4 linked regions of the Schizosaccharomyces pombe genome follow. The protein of the gene in region 2 purifies or fractionates together with the protein of the main gene of each other region. This does not show direct contact. Each region holds a gene or a part of one and is shown on either strand. Other genes may lie near its edges.

Region 1 (4,662 bases), 1.7 Mb from region 2:
GGGCTAGAAACGATTTTGTCAGGAGAGGGTTGAGGTTGAGAAACTGGTTCAACATTGCTTGTAGGTACTGTTGAACGGGTGTGCTTTCGCTTCGGTTTCTTAGCATGCTGTTCTTTAATGTCAGGAGTGGCTCTAGAAGCTTGAGCCAATGGTCTGGTTTCTGAAAAGTCTATCAAATCTTTTTTAGTGGGAGAGGATAAGTCTTCTGAAGGTTTAGTAGAAGTTTCCTCAGCCGTAACTCGACTATCAGCAACTGACGCATTTTCTTTAGAAGCATTATAAGCAGCCATTTCTTCTTCGTAGGCTTCTCGAAGTTTAGAAGCTTCTTCTTCGTAAGTTTTCCGATCATCTTCAGATAGCGAGCCCCACTTTTCATGCATCGCTTTATTCACCTCTTTAACATCGTTACTCTTCTCGCCCAAAGACTCCTTGATTTCCGATCGTTGGTTCTTCTGAAAGAGATTATAGGCTGATGGAGGGCGCTTTGGTTGTGCAGGATCCCTAGCCTTGCGCTTGTTTGGGGTCATGGAGGCTACAGCTTCCGACGTATCGACTGCGGAGGTTGCCTCAACAGGAGCTACTGCTGCAGGAGTAGCTTTCTTAGGTGAAGTTGCTTTTTTAGAAGGAGACTCAATTGCCATATTAATCTCTTTCTTCGCATTTGATGGATCAGTGACGGCTGGCTTAAAAGGTTTCGAAACCTCGGACTTCTCTCCTAATATCGAAGGAAGTGATTCTTCGATCTCACGGCATGCGGTTAAAGCTAACTGAAAAGCTTCCGCCAACCTTGTGAAAGAACCAGAAATCTAAGACGGCAATTTGTTAGATAAAAACCAAAAACCAAGCGGATAACTAAAGAAAATTTTGCATTTAATCATCAAACTTTTCAACCAATTAAAAAAGATTATTTTTAGTAAATACTTGATTTAAATCAATTTTTTGAATCATAAAACATTATGTTGGTTCAAAACACCAAAACTCTTTAAAATATCACATACCTTTTCCAGTTGGGTTGAGTTTTGAGCCATCGTACTACTTAAAAAATATTCAAAGTTTCTAATACAACTAAAGCTTCAATACGATGGCAAATACAGGAAATGGTGGCTGACCTACCGGGGTGATGGCGGGAATTTAAATCTTAGCGGTTATGACGGTGGGTGGTTGGTTAATGCTGGAAATGCGAAGCAGATGAAATTGCTTCAGTTAAACCCACCAGTTCGGTTGAGCTTTCTTCACATTTTATTATTATTACAGTTTATAGTTATTTAATATATGTGACAATTGTTATTGTTGAAATTACGATGGTTCAGTGAGATATTTCTTCATGTGATTCTGTTGAGTGATATAATGAAAATTACAAAAGACAATTGTAGTAAATTAAATATATAATAGGAAAATATGAGAAAATCTACAACCGAGAAAAATTTTTTTTTTTTTTTTTTTTTTTTTTCTTTTTCTAATCTCAATCCACTAAATTTGCTGAGACTTACAGTCAAATAATGTCCCATAAATGGAAAGAATAGCAATAAAAACATCCAAAATTTAAAAAAAAAAAATGATAAAACATTTTCTTGTAAATATTTACCTCTTAATTAAGTATAAACAAATCCTATTCCATTGACTCGTAGATCTATTTCATGATATCTTGTGAAGCTGCAACTCTGTTTATCTAGTTCTTGCGCTAGACCAATTGGTTTAGAAACTATTAAATTTAAGATAAATTTAATTTTAAACAAACCAAAGATCACTTATAGTGTTCAAAATACTTCGCAAAGCATATTGCTTTTGCGATGGATTCACTATGAATAAAATATATTGCTGTTTAATTTGGTTTGAGATATCATATTCGTAGCAATTCAACGCTGTTCTTGATTAATATTTCTGAGCACCGTTATAACAATGTAACAAGTGGTATACTAGACTTCGCTAAAAGTACGCCATCATCGAAATCCGGTATAAAAAATCACCACCTCAGTAATGAATTTTTTCGGGGGAGAGAGACATATGTAAATGTTGTATTGTTCACGATTTAAATTTTTTTGGGATGTCCTCCGAACAACAAAATGAAGCTGATTCGAAACCCGCGGTGATTCCTCAATGTTTTAAAATTGAAAATCAATACGAGACCTTTTCCCGTCTGAGTGAAACGTCAACTCCTGGTGTTGTACCGTCTGTGTCGACATTATGGCGGCTTCTGTTTGAGCTGCAAAAAATGATTGAGTGTGAACCGTCTTGTGTAGAATATTTTCGCCAGCGCAAAGAAGAGTTAGAGTCTCATGTCGATTCTGAAATAGAAACCTCAAAAGACGAATCGTCGGTTAATAAAGTGGAAGAAAAAGTAGAAGAATTTAAAGAAGACAACGTTGAACAAGAAATAAAGCAAAAGCGTTCTCTTTCCGAAAGTCCACAAGAGTCTATGCTAGAAAAAGTTTCCAAGAAGCCCAAAGTTTCAGAGGCCCATAATGAAGAAATCAGTCCCGAAAATGTGGAAACAATTGAGAATGAATTAGATTTACCGGTTAAGGGTAAAGATGAACAGACAACTGGGTTGGTATATAAAAACGCAAACGATCTTCTAACCGGTTCATTACTATCTTTCATTGTTGACGATTCCTTCTCTTATGAACAAAAAAAGAAGCTTTTATGTGTAGATTCCTTTCCAACCAGTGATGTACGATCGTTGGTGGCAGGAACTCCGGCGACTGATGATTTTTCTCACAACAAGCCAAATAACCAGATTTCAATATCAACCTTTTATTCGTCACTTGACCCATATTTTCGTGCTTTCAATGATGATGATATTGCTTTTTTAAAAAAAGGATTTGACGTTTCGTCTTCCTATAATATTCCTCCTTTGGGGGAACGCTATTACGATTTAACTCCGGAAGATGAAATGACCAACCTGTGTGCTAACTCAATTTACCAAAACCTGCAAACCTCTGCTCAAGGATCCCTTGAAGCTTTTAATGAGGCAGATACCGTCTCTGAGGAAGTTAGGTGTGGTCCACTCACTGAACGACTAATGGCTTCATTAATTCCTTGCTACACGCAGAATGATGAGGAGCAAAAACCTTCTATTGCTGTTGGCGAATTTGCGGAAACCGATTCTGGATCCGAGAAAAGCAAAATTGGTACAAGCATTGATGGAATCGAGTCAGGAAATAATGAATATACAGAACAACCGGATATACAAGAGTCGAGTCTTTCAATTTGTGAGGACCGCCTTCGTTACACCCTAAAACAACTAGGTATACTTTATGATGGCGATGTAGATTGGTCAAAGCGACAGGATGATGAAATTTCAGCTACCTTAAGGAGTTTGAATGCTCGTTTGAAGGTAGTTTCTGATGAAAACGAAAAAATGAGGAATGCGCTGTTACAGATGCTTCCTGAGGAAATGGCATTTCAAGAATTCCAAAATGTGATGGATGATCTAGATAAACAAATCGAACAAGCGTATGTCAAACGTAACAGAAGTTTGAAGGTTAAAAAGAAACGTATTGTTACTGATAAAATTGGCTCTTCAGCTACGAGCGGCTCTTTTCCTGTCATCAAATCATTGATGGACAAGCGCTCAATGTGGTTAGAAAAGCTTCAACCTTTATTTCAGGATAAGCTTACGCAACACCTTGGTTCGCCAACTTCTATTTTTAATGATTTATCGGACCACACTACATCTAATTACAGTACATCTGTATGAAGCGTTTAAAATTTGAAAGTGTATATACTGTAATTCTATCATTGTGATCTAATTTAATTGCTTGCTTTAGTGAATAAAATTTGCATGAAATAATAATAATACTTTTAACCGTAGAATAGATTGATGTGCTCACTAAAATATGATAGGAAGATTACTTAAATGCACTTATAAACATGATTCATGAAGAAAACAAAAAGGCCAAAAAGAAGAATGATTGATAGATAAAATACGTCCATCACTTTTTGAAGCAAAACACCTAAAGTAAAATTTTAAATCCATTCAAACTCACCATTCGCCTTGAAAAATAAGTAATCTTTTCCATTAACGCCAACTACGCCATCTCTGAACACACATTTCCATTTATTTTTGTGGTGGTTCACTTTGTCATAAAGACAAAGAACGATAGCCTGTCCAATATCAGAACCTTCTTCAGTTTCGGGAGCCTCATCTGAATCAGGATCGTCTAAATCTGAGTTAATTGCTTCGTCAGAAGGCGTATCAACAGGTGGCTTTTTTTCATCTTCGTTATCTTCTATAGTGCCGTCAATTTGCAAAATGCGATTCTTTTTCAAAACTTCATAAATTTCAGCATCAGCTTTCTGTGCAATAGCAAATCTATTACTTTCAAAATTAGAAGGGCTCCCAGCATCATCTAGATCATGAATAGCACCATCGGTTTGAGGCACGTCATTACGAGAATTAGCAGGGGTGGTATTAGAAGACTCTGTCTCTCCTAATTCAGACTTTTTCGGAGAGTTTTGATTGGGAAGTAACAATCCGCCAAATGAGTTAGTAGATGAAGAGTCGGGAGCATGTTCTTGGCCCGTAGAAGTTACATTTGCAGTCGAATGGTCGTTGATAATCGGTGAGTCAGCAGTTTGATTAGTGGGCAGTTGCAATGAGTTAGAGCTGTAAGAAGGGAAGGGGGCAGTATTATTAGGGTTGGACTGTACGTTAGGTAT
Region 2 (6,503 bases):
TGAATAAGATTAAAGAGATTGCTATTCACTTGGATTTATCGGACGAAGGGTAAGACTTTTAATTTATAGAATTTTTATCTGGGCATTGCTTAACTAGCTTGCTTAGAATAAGTTTTGTAAAGTTTATTATTGGTGCTTTTCGCTATACTTTTTTTATTACTTATTAGAAGGATTTTTAGTTATTTTATATTTGTTCAGTTTACTAATACTTTACAGAAAATTACGAGATCTGTTAACAAAATGCGCATCTACTGCAATGAACTCAAAGCTTATTCGTTCGAATTCTACTTTTTTTACAAAGATGGTAGTTGATGCTGTTTTGACATTAGATCAAGAAGACTTGAATGAAAACATGATTGGTATTAAAAAAGTCCCTGGAGGAGCAATGGAGGATTCACTTCTTGTTAAGGGCGTTGCATTTAAAAAGACATTTTCGTATGCTGGTTTTGAACAACAGCCAAAATTCTTCAAGAATCCCAAAATTCTTTGTTTGGACGTTGAGTTGGAATTAAAGGCCGAGAAAGACAATGCTGAAGTTCGCGTTGATAAAGTTCAAGAATACCAGAATATCGTCGATGCTGAATGGCGTATCATTTTTTCCAAACTTGAAGCGATTGTCGCTACTGGTGCGAAAGTTGTTTTGTCAAAATTGCCCATCGGTGATTTGGCCACCCAATATTTCGCGGATCGTGACATTTTTTGTGCTGGAAGGGTTGCTGCAGATGATTTAAATCGTGTGGTACAAGCAGTTGGCGGCTCCATCCAGTCTACCTGCTCAAATATTGAGGAGAAGCACCTAGGTACTTGTGATACTTTTGAGGAGCGTCAAATCGGTGGTGATCGTTTCAATCTATTTGAAGGTTGTCCCAAGGCCAAGACTTGCACTCTTATTCTTCGTGGCGGTGCTGATCAGTTTATTGCAGAGGTGGAACGCTCGTTACATGATGCTATTATGATTGTTAAACATGCGTTAAAAAATAACTTAGTAGTCGCTGGCGGTGGTGCTTGTGAGATGGAGTTATCTAAATATCTCCGTGATTATTCTCTTACTATATCTGGTAAACAACAGAATTTTATAGCTGCCTTTGCTCGCTCGTTGGAAGTAATCCCTCGTCAGCTGTGTGATAATGCAGGATTCGATTCAACAAATATTTTGAATAAACTCCGTATGCAACATGCCAAGGGTGAAATGTGGGCTGGTGTAGATATGGATAGCGAAGGGGTCGCAAACAATTTTGAGAAGTTTGTTTGGGAGCCTAGCACCGTCAAATCAAATGCCATATTATCAGCAACTGAGGCAGCTACTCTAATTCTGTCCGTTGACGAGACTATTAAAAATGAACCTTCACAGCAACCTCAAGCTCCACAGGGTGCGTTACCTCCTGGCGCTGCTAATAGGATTATGCGTGGTAGAGGTCGAGGAATGCCCCGCTAATAAATTTTCTAGGATTGTATTCTATCTAGATAAAATCAATTAAATCACTTTTTGTTTTGGTTGGACAATTCGTTTTGAATTTCTACCTATAAACAGGGCGTAATGTACTTATTGGTTCTAAATTAGCTATTTTATCTTTATGAGCGCTAGCTACGACTTACAATATTGTTCTGCATCGCGGATTATTTTCTTGTCACTTCACTCACTTTTGCGATATTATATGAACAGTGATTACTAAAAGTTACTAAATTGTTTCATAATTTATAAGGATTTATATGTGATACTTTGATACCTTCCAAATATCTTTTTTTAAGTTCGAAAACTTATAGTAGTATACTGGTATGAAATGGTAAACAGAACATATATTGCTTCATTTCTATCGTTATTTTCAATTGTTACAGTACGTTAAACATATTTCAGGAAATCGCTGTGTATCCATATCCGACGCTAGCGAAACAAACGAGTATGAAACCTTCACATATCTCAAGTGTTATTTTTTATCCATTGTGGTTGTTAATTTAATTTATCACGCGTCATTTATGAACTATTATACATAGGGAAGGAGAATTTGAATGGAGACTAATTTCGAAGATTCAAAGTCGTTGGATGAGCCTGTTCTTCATGACATTGCAATCGCGCTGCTTAAAAATGATTATTGGAGCCTTTATTTGTCCCCAGAACAAAAAAGGAAGTATATTTCTATACTAAATGACACTCTTCTATGGAACCGATTCATTAATGTAATAGAATGGGATAAGTTGTGCGATGAAAAAGACTCGAATGGCAGTAACGATGATGAGGAAGACGATTTAGATATTACTACTTTGTTTCGCTGTCGTTGTATGATATTTGACGCTAAAATAAATCCAGCTTTATTTGATTTAAGTTCCACAAGTTCTGGATCTATTGAGCATGTTGATCATCAAAACATATCCTTAGAAGCTTCGTTGGCCGAGGAAGAAGAAAGAAAGAAGGGAGATGCCAAAAAGTCTGAAGCAACTGGAAGACAACTATTTGATGATGATGATTTTGATGAATCTGATGCCGAAGACTCGTCTAAAGCTACCATTACTCTGGATCTTCAAAAGGATAAATCATTACGAAAAAGCATTATAGATTTGAAATCTGTCGATATAGATGATATGGGTAAGTCATCCCTTAAGTATTCTTATATACTAACATTTTAGATACTTCTGGTTTTGCAGCCATCGAATCAAATAAGGCACTCAGCAATATTAGTTTCAACTATGTGTACTATACTTTAGAAAATGACTCTGAAAATATCAATGAAGTGAAAAAATTTGAAGATGAGGAAGACACATCAACCCCTAATACATCCAGCTTTCAAAACAATTCATCCTCTCTTGATTTATCTGATAATTTATCGGTACGTTATGAAACTTATCAGTTATTTTAATTCCTTTTAATTAACAAAATTTAGCTTAATTCAAAGTTTGGATCACTTACCTCGTCATTTAAGGTATACTTTTAATCACTTTCTAATCTTGTTGTCAACCAAAACTAATACTTAGTATCTACTGCAATATTTGGAGGGAAATAGAAGTAAAATAAATGCCACCGATGCTGATGTGAAGCAATTGTTATCCGATGTTAAAAAAAATAAATCAAAATGGGTATTTAAGTTTTATTTTTTTGCTTGTATTAATGTTTTCTAGGCGAATGATCAAAGAATTGGTCAAGAAGAGCTTTATGAAGCAGCAGAAAAAGTGGTCCTGGAACTTAGATCATATACGGAGCATTCTTTGGCTTTTCTAACCAAGGTCAGCAAAAGAGATGCACCTGATTATTATACTGGTAAGAGTGATTCTAATAACTCTAAAATTCTCATTAACATTTTGTAGTAATTAAGGAGCCGATGGACCTTGGTACCATTTTAAGGAACTTAAAAAATTTACATTATAATAGCAAAAAAGAATTCGTTCATGATTTAATGCTAATTTGGTCGAACTGCTTTTTGTATAATTCACATCCCGACCACCCTTTGCGCGTACATGCCCAGTTTATGAAAGACAAGTCTTTGGAATTAATAAACCTCATTCCTGATATAGTAATACAATCTCGTAAGGATTACGATGATAGTTTAATTGAAGCAGAGCTTGAAAGCGATGAAGAATCAACAGCGGAGACATCAAAACATGTCACTTCTAAAAAGACATCTTCTAGGGGCGGACAAACGCAACAAGCTGTTGAAGTTCATACTGATGCAAATAGCCCCGAAGAAAACAATACTCCTGTTACAAAGAAAGAAGTTGAGACCTCTAAACCTCCTGCTGTTAGCGGTTCAACACCTCCTGTCAATGAAGCGGCCGTTATAGAGAGTTCTAACACTTTAGAAAAAGAACCTTTGTCTGACGTTGCTACTGAATATTGGAAAATCAAAACAAAGGATATTCGTGAAAGCCATATCTTAAATAATCGGCGGATTTTAAAAAGTTTACAATTTATTGAGACTGAACTACCTATGATTCGGAAGCCAACAGCAATGTCAGCTTTTATAGATCGAGAAGTTGCTTATGGAAGTATAGATTGTTTACCTATGGATAAAGGTGATTTTGAACCAATAATGAAATTAGATACTACCCCATTACTTGAGTATGATGTGGGTTCAGGCGTTCCGATGACCGCTGGTAGCGTCTTGGAGACTGAAAGTGAAGAAGACTTATACTTTAGGGACTACTCTCTTTTTGAAATTAATCGCAACACACCTGGTGTACCTTCGTTGATGTACAAAAATATTGCTAAAATGCAAGAAATTCGGAAATTATGTAATAAAATCCAAACAGTTCGCCAGTTACAGCTTCCTCAGCCATTTTATTATGAACATCATAAAAGTCATGTCCCGTTTGCTAACAATGAACCCATCCTTTTGGATATCCCACAAAATTACGATAACATGTCCTCCTTTAAACCATTGGCGCACGATGTATTAAAAAAGCTTTGTACCATTATATTATTCCATGCTGGATTTGAGTCGTTTCAAATGGGAGCACTGGATGCTTTGACCGAAATAGCGGCTGATTACATGGCAAAAATGGGTGCTGTCATGGACCAGTATCTCATTTATGGGAAAGACAAATCTCAACAGGTATTTAATTACGTTATGCAGTTATATTGACCAATTTAGGAAATTGTTGGACAAACCCTAGGGGAATTAGGTGTTGACGATGTGAATGATTTAATTTCATATGTGTATCATGATGTAGAGCGCCAAAGCGTGAAGTTGCTAGAAATACATCAGCGTCTTCAAAGGCATTTTGTTGAGTTATTGGTATGCGAATTTCCTTATTAAGTAGTGTTACTAACCGGATTAGCGTCCTGCACTTTCTGAGCGCAATGATGAAGAAGCGATATTTAACCAAAATGGAGAGTCGTTTGTAACGGGAAATTTTTCGTATGAGACTGGTGATGATTTCTTTGGTCTACGGGAACTTGGTTTAGATAGAGAACTTGGCTTAGATTCACTATCGGTTCCATTGCATTTATTACAAAGCAGATTGAGGTCGAATATGAGTTGGCAACCCGAAGCGTATGTTTATAATATCTTTGAAAGATTTGATACTAATTCATTCAGAACGATAAAGGGTGACCAAGAGTACGCTCCACCTCCAAAATATCCTCCCATCACCGCCGAAAGTATTTCTAACGAAATCGGGTTGATTCAAGGATTTTTAAAGAAGAATCTAGAGGAATTCGGTTTGGATGAGTTGTTGGAAGATGAAGACATAAGGCCAAGGAGCAAACCTCCGCGACCGCGTCTACCTCCGAACGGAAAGATTACCACTGGGAGAAAGCGAATTGCTTCGTCAGTTTTTTTAAATCAATCCTTGAGAAAAAAGCGCTGCCTAAAGGAGAATGAGCAAGGTACTGAGGTAACTACTCTTCCTGAAGAATAGGCCATATGTATTTATTTATAACGTCAAAAACAACTAGTATATAGATGTGTATCAACCACAATGGAGACATAACTTTTAAAACATAATTTTTACTTTAAAAAAGTTTAAAGTTTCTTTTAGTAATAATTATAATGGTTCTAGTTTTGGTTTGGCTTTATGTCTGATGTGTTCTTTAGTAATTATTAATGTCTGAAAAATCGGGGTCCGAATGGCAATTTGAATTTGCAAAATAAAGATATAATATCACTAACATATAACTATTTATTAATTACTCTAGCAACACATTTAACCTAATTATGAGTGCATTGTCCGAAATATTAAGTTACCTAATTATTTCATTTGAGACGAGTTTTACCTTTCACCTTGAAGTATCACATACTGAAATGGGAAAGCGCGAGAACGCTCATAACAGCAGTGAGCGACCTTTTAAAAAGGAAAGGAATCTTTATCAAACAAAGCTAACTATTAAGTATAGTTTAAGTACAAAAGAACAGGGATTGAAAAAAATGAAAGTGGTGTTTTAGTTACTGTTCCTCGCGGTAAAGAAAGACAATCATCGTCTGAGATTCTTGATGTTTTTACTCAGGTATGCAAGACATTTGTCAGGTTAAGGATGCGTAAACTGATGATTAATAGCATATAGCTACTCTTTGGCCAGAAACTCAATCTAGTGATCAAGAAAACGAAGAAGAAGGCGAGGAATTAGAAGATGCAGTTGCTAAGGAGATTAATAGTCTCCAAAAAAAGAACAAAAAAGAACTGTTAACCCCAATTATGCTAGATATGCCTTGTGGTAGGTGCATAAACAGTATAATTTTAGAAGTTTAAGATGTTTATTCGTATTTGAATTATTATGACCGTTTATTAATTTTTTGAAGTTTACTTTGTAAAAACAAGGCCACCAATTGATCCAGTGCGTCTTGTAGAGTTTACTTGTGAAGTTGGGAAAACCAAAAAAATGACTCGATATACACAACGATTGATACCGATTGTAAGAACAACTGGCGTTTCCCTGGATGATCTCGAGGAGCTTGCTAAAAGTCTGATTGACCCGTTATTTCATGAAGGCCAGGAAGGGATTAAGGTAAGTTAGCAATAATATATGGCTTTAGCATACAATAGGCTAACTCCAGGAGTTCGCTGTTCAAGCCAAT
Region 3 (5,432 bases), 1.4 Mb from region 2:
TTGATGATTTAATTTACGCTTGTAGAGCTGCGGATGAGGAGTTACTAGATGAGATTATAGAGAAATGTCCACAAGAATTAAGTCGTCGTGATGAAAATGGTAACTCTGGACTTCATATGGCTAGTGCTAATGGACACATCGCTGTTGTTCAAAAAATAATCCCGTACTTGAATAAAGAAGTAATAAATGCTCAGAATGAGAGTGGAAACACCGCAATGCATTGGGCAGCACTGAATGGACATGCTGAAATTTGCAAATTACTACTGGAAGCGGGAGGTGATCCTCATATTAAGAATATTTATGAGAAGTCACCTATATATGAAGCTGATATTCGAAATCAGCAAAAAGTAATGGACCTTTTTCTGGATTTTGAGATTGCTAAAGGTAGTGAAGAAAACACTGGTGATGAAGAAAAATTGGAAGATGGAATATGATCGTTTTATTTGATAATTTCTGATTTTTATTTTGTAAAAAAATTTACCTCTTTCTTTTGTAGGTTGTGGGAAGCTAATATTTTTATGCACCTGATGCATTTTTTTTTTCTTTTGGAGCATAATTTGGGGTTATTCTTATATTTTGTTAAGTTTTTTACTGTGTAATTTCTAGATGTTTTCTCAATATAATTCGTTTTCAGCGATGTACGTTGCCATGTATCTGTGTAGAAAGTTCAAGTGATGTTTATTAAAAGATGGATTATCTCAATAGACAAAATGTTTATCTTCCATCATTTACAGATAGAAATTGAATTGGAAAAGTGCTTTCATTTTTGTTTAAACCTTGTAATTAAACCTATGTAGCGTTATACGTTGGAATAGAAAGAGAAAAGCCTACCGGTTGCGTTCAAAAATGGAACAAAACTTTATTTCTAGATTTTATCAGGTTCGTTATTCATGGCAATCTAATCAAATATACAATTCATGGTTATAATCCCAAGGTTTTACGAGCCAATCGTCGAACTACACGACAATATTCTTCTCGATCTTCTCTCCACATCTTGCACGCATCGATGTTAGCACCACTTTCATCGTTTGGTTCCGCCAACATCGACATTACCGATAACAGTATTTTTTCAACAGATTGAACAGGAGACCAACGTTCTGAAGACGACTCATACATATTTGGATCGTCACCAGGTGCATGTAGGATGGAAATGCAAACCGTCCCATCTTTGTAAACTGAAATGAAGGTTAGTCTCGAAATTTGGATTAATAGTATCTGGCATACCATTTGGATGGAAAAATTCACACTCAAACTTTAAAGTAGGGGGGCCAAGAGGATAATCCTACATAAAAAAGTTAGAATCCAATAAAAATAAAACTAAGCACGTATCAACGTGCGCTTGAACACCCCGGATGTACTGCCATGCGATTCAAAGAAAGAAACCAAACCCCCAAAAAAAAACTTAGATAGATCTTTTAAATAAAATTTCTTCCTACTCATCAATAAATCGAAGGATTCATCAATTACTAATGAATAAAAGCACTTCTCTTAAATGATCATTCTAAACGAATGGATTATTGAGTTACTTTCTTTATTTACGCTGAACAAATGTTAATTTATGAAAAAGAGCGCGTATTTTTTAATAAGTAGTTGATACATAAAACATGCGAAACATCATACTTATCCACAACTTAAATCACATGTTCAGTCTCCATCAGGTTTATAGTAAAGGACTTACGGAAGGAAATTTCAAGGTAGCAGGGTATAACCCACCTTCAAATGGAGTTCCATCAGGGCCTTGAATTAGGCAATCCCAAGTAAAGAAATCATCCTCATTCGATGGACCTGCAGTAATACCATCAGGCCCATTCTCCGTTAACTCCTTATACTCCTTCATTAACCGTCGCAACGCCATAGCTTTACTCATTTTGGAAATCAATTAACTTACTAATCGGTAAGATATATTAAAGATCACTGACTAAAAGGTAGCCTAAAAATGGTAATGAACAGATTAATGAATGAATGGTTTGTTTACGACAAATTATGCAGCTGAGGCTAAACGAACTTTTGTGGTATCACTCGCTATTTTTATCTCGTTCATCATTTTAGCAACTTCTACCGCACAAAATAATAAGGCCGTTAATTAAAATAGCGAAAACATGTAAAATTCATAAAGTGATTTAGAGGAAAGAAATGCAGCTTGCTCTATCCCACAACATTCCAATAGTAATTGTTAAATACTTAGGAAAACGTATCCGAGTGCAATTGGAATTTAAAAAAGAGCTTGCGCAGAGATCCAAGCATCTGATGGATGTATCACAATGCGAACATTGGCATAATCGGCTTTGTGATGTTGGATTAGACTCGAAGCAAAAGGCAAACACAGCAATTGAAATTCGAGATGCACTGGATGATGTGTTGGTAACTGAAAAGACGAATTTTGAAACTTTCATTCCTCTTTTGGAGGACACGTTGTCTTTGCTTGAAAAGGAACGTCCTGTATTTTCATCGTTAGCAGCTACACATCGTTTACGCATTGCATTGCTTGAATTGCTCAAGAAATCTGGATCCTATAAAGGTTTTGAAGCATTCGTTAATCGGACTTTTGCCGTGCTTCTTCGTATAGTCGTTAATGATAATGAAGAGATGGCAGTGTTGGCATTGAAGCTTGTTGTCCTTCTTTTTAAGGACCACAGTAGCCTTGCTAAGGGACATGTTCAGGAATTTTTATCCATTGTCGTTGAAAACTACAAATCCATGACCACAGTTGTTTCAGAAGCTTTCCCACCTAGATCAGCTCCGAATACTCCATCCTCTCATCCCATGTCTGCTGCATCTTCTGCATCTCCTGCTGAAATTGGAATGGAACATGCAGGTCCAAAAATGATCCCAAAAGCTTCTTCGAGTTTCAAGGTCACTGCTGAATTTCCCATTATCGTCTTTCTCCTATTTCAAACATACAAAGATCTTATTCCGAAAATGCTTCCTTTACTTGCTCCGCTTGTACTTCAATTTATCTCACTTCGTCCTCCACCTCAAGCCGAAGCTCGTCGACTTGCAGAATCTCAAAAAGAGGTTTTTATTGGTGTAGTCCCTTCTTTGCGTCGAAATCATCTTTACAATGACCTTATTTCTGCGCAAATTAAATCATTCTCTTTTCTCGCCTATTTATTGAGAAGTTTTGGTGCTGCTCTTAAACAGTTTGAAAGCTCGATCCCAATATGTACCTTGCAATTGTTCATGGACTGTCCTTCCGAATTATATCAGACTCGAAGAGAACTTTTGGTAGCTACAAGGCACGTCTTATCGACGGATTATTTGAGAGGGTTTCTACCGTATGTAGATCAACTACTTGATACCAAAATTCTAGTTGGTTCTGGAATCACTTCTCAGCATTCATTACGACCCATGGCTTTTAGCATGCTGGCAGATATGCTTCATTATGTGCGTATGGAATTAAGTCCACAACAAATTTACAAAGTCATACTTCTTTATTTCAGTATTTTGATGGACGACTTTTATACTTCAGCTATTCAGGCAATGGCTACAAAGCTTATTTTAAACTTGGTTGAAAGAATTGTTGCACTAGAAGATTTTTCCACTAGCCGATCACTTCTATTTGCTATACTTTTATGTCTCTTAAGAAAATTGACTTCTCTGAATTTCGAGTTTATGAAGCTGAGAGATTCTTTACAGGAAAATGCTGACTTAAAGCAAATTAAAATAGAAGAAAATAAACATGATCTTCCTATGTTTGAGAACCCTACTGGAGCTGCCCAACCTTCAGGTTTGGATAAGCTAAAAGATTGCATATTTCTTTTTAAAAACACCTTATTAGGTATTAAGCCTGTTTTGTTTGGACTAAAGCAACGAAATATTCCTCTTGCCAACGGTTCCATTTTTACAGCTCAGGAATGGTCTGAAAAGTTACATCTTAGTTCAACTAATGAAGTTTTACTGTTTCGAAGATTACTTGTGGAAAGTTTAAAGGGATTCAGTTATTACCAGACAGATGAAAAAACCGGTGTATTCAAGTCCTCGAAAAATCTTGCATACTCTCAACTTGATTCTTCGTTGACCACAAACCCTTCTAAACTCTTAGAAGAGAAGGAGCTCTTAGAAATGTTAGCAACTTTATTTTTACACTTGGACCCATCTGTTTTCGTCGAAATTTTGGAATCCGAGTTTCCGAATATATTTGAGTGTCTAGTAGATAATCTTGCTTTATTGCATATTTTCCAATTTTGGATGTCTAATGAAGTTACTTCTGTCAACTGCACGGGCATCGTGCTGTCTTTTTGCTGTGACAATCTAGCTAAAATAGGGTCTGGCCAATCCACTCGGGTTTCTGTTTTATTGCGATTATTCAAGTTGGCCTTTATGACTGTGAATGTTTTTCCCGAAAAAAATGCAGAAGTCCTGCGTCCCCATATATCCTATATCATTTCAACTAGCCTCGAATTGACTACTGATGCTGTTGAACCTTTAAATTACGTTTATTTAATGAAAGCTTTGTTTAGAAATATCAGTGGAGGAAAATTTGATTCTCTTTACAAGGAAATACTACCACTTCTCCAAGTAATGCTAGAATGTTTCAACAGATTGATTTTTACTGTTACGTCTACATCCCAAAAAGAGCTGTATGCGGAACTTTGTTTGACTTTACCCATTAGACTCAGTGTGTTGTTGCCTCATATGAATTTTTTAATGAAGCCATTGATTGTTGCATTAAAAGGCCCCCCTGAAATAGCTAGTCAAGGGCTTCGAATATTTGAACTTTGCTTGGATAATCTTACTCAAGAATTTTTGGATCCTTTATTGGACTCAATTATGCCGGATTTGCTGATATGCCTGTGGAATCATTCACGCCTTAATCAATCCAATAATCAATTGCATCAAAGTGCTGTGAGAATATTAGGAAAAATGGGTGGTCGAAATAGACAAATATATCTTGGTACCTTTGGCTTTGATTTTTTGCAAGATGAAAATATTTTTCCTTCAATCCAGTTTTCTTTCCAAGGCTCCTCTCAGAATTTTAGCTTAGAGCACTCCAAATTTTTAATGTCTTCATGTGCTGTTTTAAACAATCAAAATTCCGATTTAGAAGAAAAGAAGCAAGCATTTCAAATGGTCAAGAATTCGTATTTATTACTCTTTGCGTCTGCGAAGCCCGATGAAGACTTTTGGGAATCTATTGATACAATGTGCCGAGCAGTTGTAGATCGCATGGATAAAAACTTACAGCAAGTCTCTAATGGTAGGTTGTGCCCTGACAAAGATGAATCTTATTATCTGCAAAGATCTATTGTCTCAAACATTTTTAAATCTTTAGTCGGCTCAATGTCTTGTGTGGAATTTGTAGCTGAAGCTCGAGAAACCATCAATCGTTCTTTGGAATGGCTCATTGTTCTTGATTTGGTTAATTACGCTGACTCTCTGCAAATAAAAGATCAAAATATTTTTGATAATTTGCAAAGCATTAAAATGCTTGA
Region 4 (4,388 bases), on a different chromosome or scaffold from region 2:
GTAAACAAGTAGCTTTACGGTTACCACGGCAACTCCTAGCTGAGAGGTCAATTCTACCTCTTGCGCTGTAGAAATTCTTTTACCAAAACTAAAAATTTCCTGTAAAGGAATTGAAATATCAAAGTCTCGAAAAACGCGTTTTTAAAATAATTCGGGGCTTTGCATTCATTTTGAATTGTTAAACTCGTGATGTCAACCGGTCAGCTCAAACGCTTTAAAGGATGTGAGTATTTGACGCATCGGTTAGTCCTTGCAACTCTCTCGGGAACTCCGATTCGAGTTGAAGGAATTTACCCAGATGAAGCCGATCCTGGTGTCAAAGATTACCAGGTTTCGTTTTTAAGGCTGTTGGAGAAGTTGACCAATGGCAGTGTCATAGAAATTTCTTACACAGGTACTTCGTTCATATATCGCCCAGGAAATATTATAGGAGGTCGTGTAGTCCATGATTGTCCAACTACCAAAGGGATAGGCTATTTTTTGGAACCAATTCTAATACTTTGTCTTTTTGCAAAAACCCCTACTTCACTTACTCTTACTGGAGTTACTTCCAGTAATGAAGATATTGGTGTCGATGTTTTGCGCACTAGTGTATTACCCTCTCTTCAAAAGCGTTTTCAAGTTGGTGATGAACTTGAGTTGCGCATATTAAAGCGTGGTTCTGCTCCTGGCGGAGGAGGTGAAGTGAATTTTTTATGTCCTGTAATTAAAGAGTCTTTACCTCCCATTCGTCTCTCAGAATTTGGAAGAGTCTTCCGAATCAGAGGAATTGCTTCTTCAACTAGAGTATCTCCCGCTTTTGCAAATCGCTTAGTAGAATCTGCTCGCGGAGTTTTAAATCCTTTTATACCCGATGTTTTCATTTATACAGACGTTCGCCGTGGAGATGAATGTGGTAACAGTCCTGGGTATTCTATCACTTTAGTTGCAGAAACTAATAAGGGTTGCTCTTATGCTGCCGAGCATTGTGGTGAAGCTGGAGAAACACCAGAAGATGTTGGTTCCTTTTGCGCAAAGAAATTATTGGAAGTTATTGAATCTGGTGGTTGTGTAGATCCATATACACAACCTTCAACTTTAACCGGGATGCTACTATCCTCTGAAGACGTTAACACAATAGTTGTGGGTCAACTTGGTATTACTTCGCAATTAGTTGTTTTTCTTCGGGATGTGAAGGCACTTTTCAATTGCGAATATAGATTTAAAGAGCTCGAATCAGGCCAGGTGGAGATGTCATGCTTAGGAAAAGGATATTTAAATGTCAATCGCCGCATTCAATAGAAAACCATTTATCAGTGGGTCCTTTGCTCGTTTATTCTTCTTAAACATCATAACATTACATTTAACATATTGTTCGGGTACTTAAAATGAACGAACGTCTTTTTGATATATATTTACTCTTTAATCGTACTAAGAAGTTCATTACCCATTAACTTCCCATTGCAATTACGACATGAGTATAAAAAAAAAGCACCATACATATTTAGAGATTTAAATACGTTTTTGTGACTCAGTTGTTTTAACGGTCTTGTTATGTTCATTTTCAATTATGGTTTGAATTTTTTTGGTTTCCTTTAAATTACTTGGTTCTGTTTCTACTTCATTCTGCTTTAATATTTCTTTCCCGATGCCTCTTTTTCAGAAAATTAGTTCTTAGATGCTCTTCTCATTTGAAAATCTCAACCTTTTTCCATGTCCTTTTGTAAAAAAAAAACACTGCCAATTTTTAGTAAATTTGTATCATCATTGATTTTGTATGAATGATCCTGTTCGTTTTATTATTTACTAAATGAGAGTTTTTACTTTACGCTGCTTATACTAAAATTTTATGTAACTTCTAAATTATTAACATTGGTGATACTAAAAGCAACTTTGATAGGAATTGCTTTAATGAAATCATTCCTTCTGCATAAATTAAAGTTTGCTTAGATAAATTTTTATGACTCGAAATATTTAGTAATGTATATGTAAAATAGCATTGTTGTAAACTTTCTGAAACAAGCTATTTAGTGGTGTGCAGTGGACTCACGCTAACTTCTGAGTGGATACAATTTGCAACGCTCGCAACGACCATAAATCTTTTTGGGTGGTAAAACAGAAAAATAACGGGAGTCGTATTTGTCTTCGCATATACTTATAGTATTTAATAAATCATGAGTTCTCCAGGAATAAGTGATGAATCTATAAAAGGACCTAAGGACGTTCGTCTGATTCATCTAATACTTAGCTCTCTGGGTGTTCCATCATACTCTCAAACAGTGCCTTTGCAGTTGTTAACATTTGCACATAGATATACACAGCAGTTAATCCAGGATTCACAGGTTTATGCGGAACATTCACGTGGGCAAAATGCTCCAATTTCTGTAGAAGATGTACGTTTAGCTGTTGCTTCTCAAATCAATCACTCCTTCACTGGACCTCCACCAAAAGAATTTTTACTAGAGCTTGCTATGGAGAGAAATCGAAAACCTTTACCCCAAATTCAGCCGTCTTATGGGTTTCGTCTTCCACCGGAGAAGTACTGTTTAACTCAACCCAACTGGATTGTCAGTAATGAAACCCAACAGAATCAACCAAAGGAAGAGAACTCCTCGGATTCACGAATGGAGGAGGATAAACTTGACTTCTCTGTGAAGTCTGAATAAATTTATTTTCCTTTTAAAGTTGTTACTAATGCCGGGGAAGTGCTGATGATTTAGATATATGTAAATATTTTTGAAGCGCTCACGAATCTTTGCAGCAGATGATTATGGTTTTATTTATATGATTTTGTTCCTCCAGAACTTCCTATTTAACTTGCGAAAGCAGGGCGTGGGTAATAAATCGTTTACAGTTATAAGGTACCTGTTTATTTGTTTATTTGCTACGAAATCAGTGTATGGAGCAAAAAAGTATACAACATTTTTAAATTCAGCTCATATTGTACATTACTGTACACTGTATCTTTTATATATGGTACGACATAGAATAGAAAAAAGTGAAAGAGACGGCAACAACATCAGTGACGGCGCGCTTTTTCTTAAAATGTTACAAAAACTGGAGTAATTCATGTAAGGCTGTGAAATTGGCATGAGCTCGTCGAGAGCTTTCTTCAACTACTAGGCTCATTTAAAATTTACACCGCACCAATGTTTCTTTATTACTTACAATTGCCTCTCATCATAACTTTGAAAATACAATTTACCACAATACTAGTGATAACATAATATCATGCATTTTAATTTTCTTTATATGACCTATACAGATCCCCTAAAAAGAATATAGTAGGGATACTCGCACGACAGCTAAAAATATATAAGTTATATAATAATTTTGAATCAGAAGGAAGGCAACGGAAATATCCACACATTTTTTGCGCTCTCGGACATATATTTCATCCGCGTTATTTTCATCATTTTCAAAATCATTTATCTCTCACATACTTCAACCATTTCAAAGCTCACCACAAACCTGTATAGGAAATATAAAGAAACTTGATGCTTTACGTAAACACAATTCAGAACTTACAAAAACACAAAAGTGAAAACTTGGTATTTAAGTCGAAAGTCATACCATTCGTAAAAAGAGTGAAATTATAATGTGTAATAAACACAAGGTAAAACATTATGTTCATTAAACAAAATCAGGAGTTTGATTGTACAATTAGCAACCATATGAGAATAGCCGAATGAAAAGTTTCAAAACAATAAGTATCCATTAACAGAAGTATGACCCATTAACTAGTTTTGAAACTAAAGAATTTTACGAAGGTCAACAACATAATGCAAAATTAAAGCCAATTTCTCTGAATGGATTTAAATCATCATAATCATAAGCTTTTAATAAATTGTAAAAATTTAAAAAACCACGTCGGCATTTTTTTGATACCTTACATCATACCGGGCATTCCACCCATGCCACCCATTCCGGGAGGACCAGCAGGGGCCTTGGACTCTTCAGGAGCATCGACGATGGCACATTCGGTGGTACCCATTAATGAGGCGACTCCACTAGCATCAACTAAACCGGTACGTACGACCTTTAGGGGATCCAAAACACCAATTTCATTTAAATCAACAAAACGATCCTTAGCAATATCATAACCGATGTTAAATTCCTTGCCATAAAGCTCCTTAAGTTTACCAACAATCAAGTTACCCTCTAATCCAGCATTTTCAAGAATGGTTTGAGCGGGACGAGTGATAGCTTTGCGAACAATTTCGACGCCAAGCTTTTGATCAAAGTTATTTGTAGGAATGTCTCCTAAGCGAAGACTAGCCTTAACAAAAGAGGTACCAGCACCTGGGAGAACACCCTCGGAAACAGCAGCCTTAACAGCATTCAATGCATCAACAATACGGTCTTTCTTCTCGTTGACTTCAACTTCACTGGAGCCTCCAACCTTAATA

Evidence for each region.
Region 1: the proteins of spt7 (region 2) and ngg1 purify together in Schizosaccharomyces pombe (affinity purification with mass spectrometry, with the first as the bait; one study listed by BioGRID). This does not show direct contact.
Region 3: the proteins of spt7 (region 2) and tra1 purify together in Schizosaccharomyces pombe (affinity purification with mass spectrometry; 2 studies listed by BioGRID). This does not show direct contact.
Region 4: the proteins of spt7 (region 2) and taf9 purify together in Schizosaccharomyces pombe (affinity purification with mass spectrometry, with the first as the bait; one study listed by BioGRID). This does not show direct contact.

The regions. Positions count from the first base shown.
Region 1 is NC_003423.3:1,585,725-1,590,386, reverse strand, and holds ngg1 (SAGA complex subunit Ngg1/Ada3), read left to right. Parts: upstream 1-1,988; 5' UTR 1,989-2,044; coding exon 2,045-3,700; 3' UTR 3,701-3,795; downstream 3,796-4,662. Other genes in the region: upstream binding transcription factor, RNA polymerase I specific, Hmo1, read right to left, coding at 1-806, 999-1,028; transcription factor TFIIA complex large subunit Toa1, read right to left, coding at 3,970-4,662. UniProt on the Schizosaccharomyces pombe protein: Component of the transcription coactivator SAGA complex. SAGA acts as a general cofactor required for essentially all RNA polymerase II transcription. At the promoters, SAGA is required for transcription pre-initiation complex (PIC) recruitment.
Region 2 is NC_003423.3:3,261,370-3,267,872, forward strand, and holds spt7 (SAGA complex bromodomain subunit Spt7), read left to right. Parts: upstream 1-1,900; 5' UTR 1,901-2,007; coding exon 2,008-2,581; intron 2,582-2,622; coding exon 2,623-2,822; intron 2,823-2,876; coding exon 2,877-2,915; intron 2,916-2,967; coding exon 2,968-3,069; intron 3,070-3,111; coding exon 3,112-3,250; intron 3,251-3,297; coding exon 3,298-4,541; exon of another isoform or gene 4,542-4,580; coding exon 4,581-4,724; exon of another isoform or gene 4,725-4,767; coding exon 4,768-4,982; exon of another isoform or gene 4,983-5,027; coding exon 5,028-5,349; 3' UTR 5,350-5,506; downstream 5,507-6,503. Other genes in the region: chaperonin-containing T-complex eta subunit Cct7, read left to right, coding at 1-49, 217-1,435; tan1 (tRNA acetyltransferase), read left to right, coding at 5,646-5,717, 5,825-5,935, 5,986-6,142, 6,228-6,433, 6,483-6,503. UniProt on the Schizosaccharomyces pombe protein: Essential scaffold subunit of the transcription coactivator SAGA complex. SAGA acts as a general cofactor required for essentially all RNA polymerase II transcription.
Region 3 is NC_003423.3:1,902,234-1,907,665, reverse strand, and holds the start of tra1 (SAGA complex, phosphatidylinositol pseudokinase subunit Tra1), read left to right. Parts: upstream 1-2,247; coding exon 2,248-5,432. Other genes in the region: ribosome biogenesis protein Yar1, read left to right, coding at 1-434; ubiquitin-conjugating enzyme Ubc7, read right to left, coding at 922-1,175, 1,225-1,282, 1,679-1,867. UniProt on the Schizosaccharomyces pombe protein: Essential scaffold subunit of the transcription coactivator SAGA complex. SAGA acts as a general cofactor required for essentially all RNA polymerase II transcription.
Region 4 is NC_003424.3:336,239-340,626, forward strand, and holds taf9 (SAGA complex/transcription factor TFIID complex subunit Taf9), read left to right. Parts: upstream 1-2,063; 5' UTR 2,064-2,153; coding exon 2,154-2,645; 3' UTR 2,646-3,525; downstream 3,526-4,388. Other genes in the region: rcl1 (rRNA processing protein), read left to right, coding at 190-1,281; protein Mcp60, read right to left, coding at 3,869-4,388. UniProt on the Schizosaccharomyces pombe protein: Functions as a component of both the DNA-binding general transcription initiation factor complex TFIID and the transcription coactivator SAGA complex.